Linked DNA regions of Tribolium castaneum. The protein of the gene in region 2 interacts with the protein of the main gene of each other region in a pairwise test. Links are inferred from orthologs where the notes say so. Each region holds a gene or a part of one and is shown on either strand. Other genes may lie near its edges. The genes, in order: serine/threonine-protein phosphatase PP1-beta catalytic subunit and sds22.

The links.
Region 1: the proteins of sds22 (region 2) and serine/threonine-protein phosphatase PP1-beta catalytic subunit interact in binary tests that used the Homo sapiens proteins (3 or more experiments, as listed by UniProt). The link is inferred for Tribolium castaneum from reciprocal best matches to the Homo sapiens genes PPP1R7 and PPP1CB.

The regions. Positions count from the first base shown.
Region 1 is NC_087402.1:10,010,986-10,014,160, reverse strand, and holds the end of serine/threonine-protein phosphatase PP1-beta catalytic subunit, read right to left. Parts: intron 1,742-3,175; coding exon 1,455-1,741; intron 1,405-1,454; coding exon 1,303-1,404; 3' UTR 738-1,302; downstream 1-737. UniProt on the Homo sapiens protein: Protein phosphatase that associates with over 200 regulatory proteins to form highly specific holoenzymes which dephosphorylate hundreds of biological targets.
Region 2 is NC_087399.1:5,888,591-5,892,838, forward strand, and holds sds22 (protein phosphatase 1 regulatory subunit 7), read right to left. Parts: upstream 2,796-4,248; 5' UTR 2,681-2,795; coding exon 2,641-2,680; intron 2,589-2,640; coding exon 2,315-2,588; intron 2,268-2,314; coding exon 2,105-2,267; intron 1,363-2,104; coding exon 877-1,362; 3' UTR 700-876; downstream 1-699. Other genes in the region: longitudinals lacking protein, isoforms H/M/V, read right to left, coding at 1-60, 138-311, 367-546; CSN4 (COP9 signalosome complex subunit 4), read left to right, coding at 565-647, 3,190-3,269, 3,319-4,022. UniProt on the Homo sapiens protein: Regulatory subunit of protein phosphatase 1.

The DNA.
Region 1 (3,175 bases), on a different chromosome or scaffold from region 2:
GGTACTTTCTTGCGTTACTTTATTTAGGTACTTAATTCAAGCTAAGCATATTCTCATTAGTGGTAATCCTATAAAATATTCCATCGGATTCGACGCCGCATTACTGCTCTAGAAGTCAATAAATTCGTTGTATTTTATCTTGTTTTATTTGGACCTTGAATAATACCTCCATTTTTCGGAGCGCCTACATTAATTCATTAATCCATTAATTTGGAGTTATAATTTTTCATTTTTATGTACAACAGAAAAAAATAAACGCAAAAAGCATAAAGGGTGAAATTATAAATTGTTACGCCTTCTGAAACCACGTCACAGTTACAGGTATAGTGATAAAAAAGGTGATAGTATCTCTAAGCTTTGATGAATAATGTAAGTAATTATTGTAACACTTCGATAAGGTTATTTGTTTTATGATAAAATTCTAAACGTATTTGTGTATCTCATAAATTGTGTAAAAATGCTGCTAAATTAAATTTGGTAAACGCCTATATTTGAATAAAATATTTAAGAAATTAGTCTTTGGGCACTTTATTACTGTTTGCTGGCCTCCTGCAAATTATGACCTCTTCCGCTTCCAGTTTTTCTTATTTAATTCGAGTTTTTATTGATTCTTCATAAAAACTGTCATAAAAAGCAACTCATTACTCATATTTAGAAGATCAGAAAAATTTCCACTTATTCTAAATTGTGTTAATCGGAGAAAAAGGACAAAGGTTTGAAAGATAAAAAGGCGTCGCTAGTAATATATAGATTTATTTGTCAAATTTAAAGTACATTAGGTGAAATAGATTTGTCAATAGAACGAAATAAAATATAAAACATAAACGATAGTACGAGTGAAAAAATCGCGTTTATGCCAATTTCTATACAAAGAGGTGATTGCAAAATGTCAAGATGCGATTGCAGCATTTAGGAACCAAAGAAAAATGATTCTTCTACAACATTTAATGACCAATCACAAAGTCTTTGGCTGGGCCACTTTATGATGCACATGGAAATGCAAGCAAGATAATTTAACAATAGTTTCTTTAAATAATACACCAATCACTGGTCTCGTTCCTAAATAAATTAATAATTGCGTATATTTATTTACAATAGAAATACGACCAGTCAGTCAAAAAGAAAACTCCTAATCAGTCAAAATAATCACAATTTAATTAAAAAAAAATGAACAAAACTAAATAAATATACAAAATAATAATACTTCAACACAATGCGACTGACTGTCTAGCAGTATTAGAGAATAAACGTTACAAATGCATTAGTTGAATAAAAATGAAAAGAGGTGTCAATTACTCGACTTTATTTCTTTTTAGTTGTTGGGTTTCTCTGAGGCGTTGAGGGACGTCCTGAGTTCACTCCTTGGTATTGATACTTGGCTTTCTTTTCCGACGGCTTCAAAATCTACACAAAAAATTACAAAACGAACCAAAACACAAAAACCTAATCCTCACCTGAAAAGAACACATTAACGTTTCATCTACACTCATCATCCCTCCAGCGTTGTCAAACTCGCCGCAATAATTCGGGGCTGAGAAAAGCGTGACTAGTTGTCTTTTTGCGAAAAATTCGTACCCATCCTCCACCACTTGATGGGCGCGACAGATCAAATCTAGATCGTGACGGTTCAAAAATTTACTAACGACATCAGCGCCGAAAGTAAATGACACTCCGCGGTCGTTCTCACCCCAACCTTGCACGTCTTTATCAGGGTCGGACCACAGCAAATCGCACAGCAGACCTGGTTTTTGAATTAAATCGAATAAAATACCAGCAGCCGATGACTCCGAAATTAGGTTGGCAACACAGACTTTTTCATTTTCAGTGGAAGCACAAACAACCAAGGTGTTAACAAACACCGATTTTTCAGGTTTTTTCGTGCTTAAATCAAACATAAAATAACGCAAAAAAATGATTTGTTCACTTGCAAATATATAACCGAAAATTCTTCTTAATCTATATTTCGCAAACAAGTGGAGGTTTAATTTCAAAATGCAAAAAGTTGGCTTTATTTTGATGAATAAAATACAGAAATCATACACACAGGTCGTTTATTGTAAGAAAATTATTAAGTCGGTGATTTAAAATTTACATTTTTAAGCAAATATGCAAATAATGCACATCTTTTAATAGAATTAGTTCAACCTAGCATACTTTAATGATGGCCTTTCTCTGTTGAATTAGTTCCACATATCAGCCGATTTGTGAAATAAACACGTGCTTTTTTTCGATTTTAAGCAAGAAATTGTCCAAAATAAACTTTCAGTGTCTTCTATAAAAGTTTACTAATTTGTAAGCAAGGAATCATCCAAAATAAGCCATTTTCAGTCATGTTTCAAAAGGTTTGTGGTGCGAATAAAGCGACTTCAGGTTTTCGACAGCGAGTTTTTAACATTTTTGAGCAAGAAACCGTATAAAATAAACTGATTTCAAAAATGTTTAATTTTGCGTTTCCAGCCAGTTTAAAGAAATTAAAGTTATTAATAACACGAGTGCGAAAACATAAGCTTAAAGTTCGGGGGCTGTCGAGCGAGAACACACTCGAGAACTTCAAGCGTTTTCGTATAAATGTTATCAATTTTTTTTCGTTACAACATTTTAATTTAAAACACGTTGCTATGAGAAGCGTGTTTTAGAATAGTAAAAACACGTTGCTATCGGAAACGTGTCTTAAAACAGTGTTTGTAATATTCATATTAAAAAGAAGGCTTAAAAAGGTACCAACAGAAAATAGAAATTTTTCAGCGAGTTTTCTCATTTTATAACAAGAAATCGTCCGAAATTATATTATTTATCTTTAAATGGGTGCTGAAATCGTTGTTTTCCTTGACAGAATTTTTGACTCAGGAATCAACTCAATCAACTCAAATAATTTCAACAAAATTGACCTAAAGCCTACTTTACATTTTTGGCTGCGAGTTTTTTCGTTTTTAAGCAAGAAATCTACCAAACTAAAGTACTATTACCAACTGGTGCCCAATAGTCGTTTTTTTAACATTATAATAAAACGAATTTAAATTTTAACTGTCGAGTTTTGATATTTTTAAATACATAAAAATCAAATGATTTATTACTAAGATCTCTATTTTTTTGTGATACCCTTTTAAGTTGGAATTTATCGACACATTTCATTTGAGGAAACTTATTTTGTGACGAAAATTGTCCATAATTAAAA
Region 2 (4,248 bases):
GTCGGTTGAGTTTGGTCTTTTTTCGCTTGAAATGTCGTTTAGTTGGGGTTTTTCAGGTACCTAACAAAATCTAGGTTTACGTTTGGTTACATAACGGGCCACGGTGCCAATAAGTAATTAGGGCTTTGGGGACTAACCTTCATATCACATAGTCCTTGTATTTTGAGGAGCTTGGCCAGGGAGAGCAGCCCTGGCAGCTGCTCCTTGGAGACCACGCACTGCCCCCTGTATATGAACGCCAGGACGGCCTTAATGTCGCTCAGGGCGACGTTATGCAGCACAATGACCGGATGCTGCGTGTCCCTCATTTCCTACAAGTGGGCGTAATGTCGTTTAAAAATAGACGGTGATTTCGCGAAAACTCACCTGGAACAGCTGGAAAAAGTACACACTGCACATTGCTAACACCAGTTTGTGCGCCTTAACGGTGTGGGATTCGACCGAGATGGTGACATCGGTGAGAACGTCGTTTTCGAGGAACGTGGTGAGGTTTTTGAGGAGGGTGAGCTCTTGGTAGTGCCATCGCAGGACGAACTGCTCGCTCATTGTGACGCGTCAGCTTGGATGGGAAAAATCGCAGGAACTGGCCCACAAACCCAGAATTTATCCAGCTTGGCTATTTTTAAAACTACTGGAGAACAAAACAGGTGCCAGCAAATTTGCTAACCTTTCAATTTCAAACGGAAATAACACGACGGGTTTATTGTTATTTGGTTTATTTTTACGTAGCAGGGGCTTATCAAAATTAAAACCGATTTTCACAATTGGGTGATTGGTTTATAATTAGACGCCTAAAATTAATCGTTACTCATTAGCTAATCAACTCATAAATGCACAGATGGCAACGGTGGTTTCCTTAATTTACAAAACAATATTTTACAACTGACACAAAGTCGCGTCGATCTGGGTTAGAGAGGGCGCGATCATCTTCAATTTCCTCCTGTACATCGGGTCCTTCTCGAGCGGATTCCGCTCCAAGTAAACTGTAGCCAGCTTTTTGTTCTTCGATAAATTCTCGACAGTTCCCCAATCGGAAACTTCATTATCATTCATCCAAAACTCCTCCAAGTCGTTCAAATGCTCGATGTTTTCAATCAACTTTATTTTATTTTTCGCCAAATCCAAGGTCTGTAGCAACGTGTTATGCGTAAGATTTTCTATTTTATGAATTCCGTTCTCGGAAATGTACAGTTCGGTCAATTGTGTGAGCTTATCCAAATTCTCGATACGCGTTATTCGGTTGCTTTGCAGGCTCAGACACGTCACGTTGGTCAGACTGTCCAAGTTTTTTATTTTTGATATTTTATTTTTGCCCAAGTAGAGGTGGGTCAGGGCTGGCATGTTTTCCAGGTTCTCTATGTCCTGCAATTAGGACGGTTTTAGAAGTCACAGATTATGACTAACAACTGAAAACACTCAAAGGATAAACTACGAAGATCTAAAGGTTAGAATATGAAACGACGTACAAATAAAACGTTCTCGTCCTCGATAGCTCCGTTAATGTCGCCAGAGGGCGCATTTCAAAACATGGTTGTATTTTTATTACTGTTCACACATAGCAAACAAAAAAAAACAGGCAGATATAGCATTAAATTCTCAATATTCAGAGATAAACACAGTGCAAAAATTTTATCGTAAACTTTTACCAATTTTGCACTCTGTCAGATATTTTTCAAAACGCTGCGAATACGGTTACAGATACAAGAAAAATGTTAGGAAGAAAATTGTAGAGAATTAAATTTCCTACAAAAAAGTCCGCGAGACCATGTTCCTATCTTGAACCATTTAGGCCCCAAAGTCGTTCAAAGACGCTCAAGCAACGGATTTCCTTAATTTTGCCGGTGGTCAAGTATTGGAAAGTTAATTCGTACCTAAACTATTAAAGATAGAAATATGGTGTCGCGGACTTTTTTGTAGAAAATTTTATTCTCTACAACTTTGTTCCTTACACTTTTTTTGTATCTTCAACTGTATTCGCAGAGCTCGCAGAAATATAAGGTGGAACGCAAATTGATAATTCTAAGCGATAACATTTATCAAAACGCTGGGAATACGGCGCAGTTTCGTCTCCTAAGTTATTATCCTCCATAGGATAAACACTTACCCTAATTTTGTTGTCCCCCAGCTCCAGCATTGTCAGCTTCTGCAAGTGCTTCACATTTTTGATTTTGCTGATTTTGTTCGACGACAGGAAGAGTTTTTCTAAATTGTGCAAATTCTCCAGTCCCTCAATCTCCTTGATACGATTAAACGACAAATCTAGAATCCTTTTAAAGCCATATTTCGCAACATTCACAAATGAGTCACTCCTTACTCTAAATTAACCAAACATCCCAGATTTTCCATTTTGACGATTTGGTTATCGTACAATTCCAATTCGCGGAGCGTGACTAACGTGTCCAAATTCTCAATTTTGGTGATCAAATTCCACCTCAGGAAGAGGCGCTCGATTTGTGTCAAGGGCTCAAGGTTTTCGAGCTTGCTGATCCTGCCATGGTTTAGGTCCAGCTCAAGGGTGTCCGGGTCTATTACCATTATTTCGTTGACAGTGGCCCCTTTTTCCTTATTGTCGTTCGAAGTGGACGTCTCTGGGGCTAACAATGAGCATGGACTTTCGACGAAAGTAACGAATTCTCTTACCGGGCTCGGGGGAACTCTCGTTTTGTTGCGGAGAAGGCATTTTTCGCACTCACACTGGACTATTTCTGTTTATTGCAATTTAATTAAGTGACTAATTTAAAGGCGGGTGACAGCAAACATCCGTGACGTTTGAGTTTGACTTCAACACGTGCAGCCAACCTATTAAATCAAATCGTCTTCCCCTTAACCCCTTATTCACACGTTAATTAAAGTAAACTGTACTTGCAATTGGTCGCAAGTATTTATTTACAGAGCAAAGACAACAATTTACTTGCAAGTGTGTTTTTTAGACAAAATTACCACAACCGGCAATAGCGTTGTGTTGGCAATTGCTGTTTTGTCAGTCATTTGTCAAAAACTACTTTTAGTTAAATTAAAATAATTTATTATTATTTGTGGCCAAAATAGTAGCGGAGCACCATGTCGGAGAAAAGCGCGGCTATCCGCACCCAACTCTCCAACATAATCGCGTCCGGGGGCTCCCACAAAGACCAGGCCGAAAAGTGAGGTTATGTAAAAAAAATTAAAAAAAACATTAATTTTTAACAGATATCGCGGTATTCTTGAGAACATCCTCGCCGGTTCGGGCCCCGAGCTGACCGAAGGCTTGCAGATATTCATCGAAGCAAGTCCGTACCCCCCACAGCCACCAACCCAGTCTAACTCAAGTCGTTTCAGTTGTCAATGAGAACGTTAGTTTGGTCATCTCGCGCCAAATCCTGACCGAAATAAGCTCGCATTTGATGAAACTACCCGACGATGTTTCCAAAACTGTCTCACACTTTATGCTTGAGAAGGTGCAACCCCGGGTTATTTCGTTTGAGGAGCAGGTGGCAAGTATTCGCCAACATTTGGCCGATATCTACGAACGTAACCACATGTGGCGCGAGGCTGCAGCTGTCCTGGTGGGAATCCCGCTCGAAACCGGCCAGAAACAATACACCGTGGATTACAAACTTGAAACGTATTTGAAAATCGCGAGGTTGTATCTTGAGGATGACGATCCGGTCCAGGCTGAGGCTTTCATCAACCGGGCGTCGCTGCTTCAGGCCGAGTCACGGAATGAGCAGCTTCAAATTTATTACAAAGTTTGTTATGCTCGAGTTTTGGATTATCGGCGGAAGTTTATTGAGGCGGCTCAGAGATACAATGAATTGTCCTATAGGACGATTGTTCATGAAGATGAACGCATGACAGCCCTTCGGAATGCTTTAGTTTGCACTGTTTTGGCTTCAGCGGGGCAACAAAGATCGCGCATGTTGGCCACACTGTTCAAGGACGAGAGGTGCCAACAGTTGCCAGCAGTGGCGATTTTGGAAAAAATGTACCTCGAAAGAATCATCAGGAGGTCCGAATTGAGGGATTTTGAGGCCTTGTTGCAGGTACGTGTATAAAAAGTGTTGTATTGTTAGTTGCATAACTATGATAAATTTGTATTTTTTTGAGTCCTTTGTACAATTAAATACTGAAAAATTATTGACATAAAAGTATCATCTTGAATTAAATTGATTGAAACAAGTTTTAAAGAAAATCTGCAAAAGCAATAAAAATACTAATACCATTTGTTAATTTGATAATCAGTATTATTAATTATTATTAATATTATAA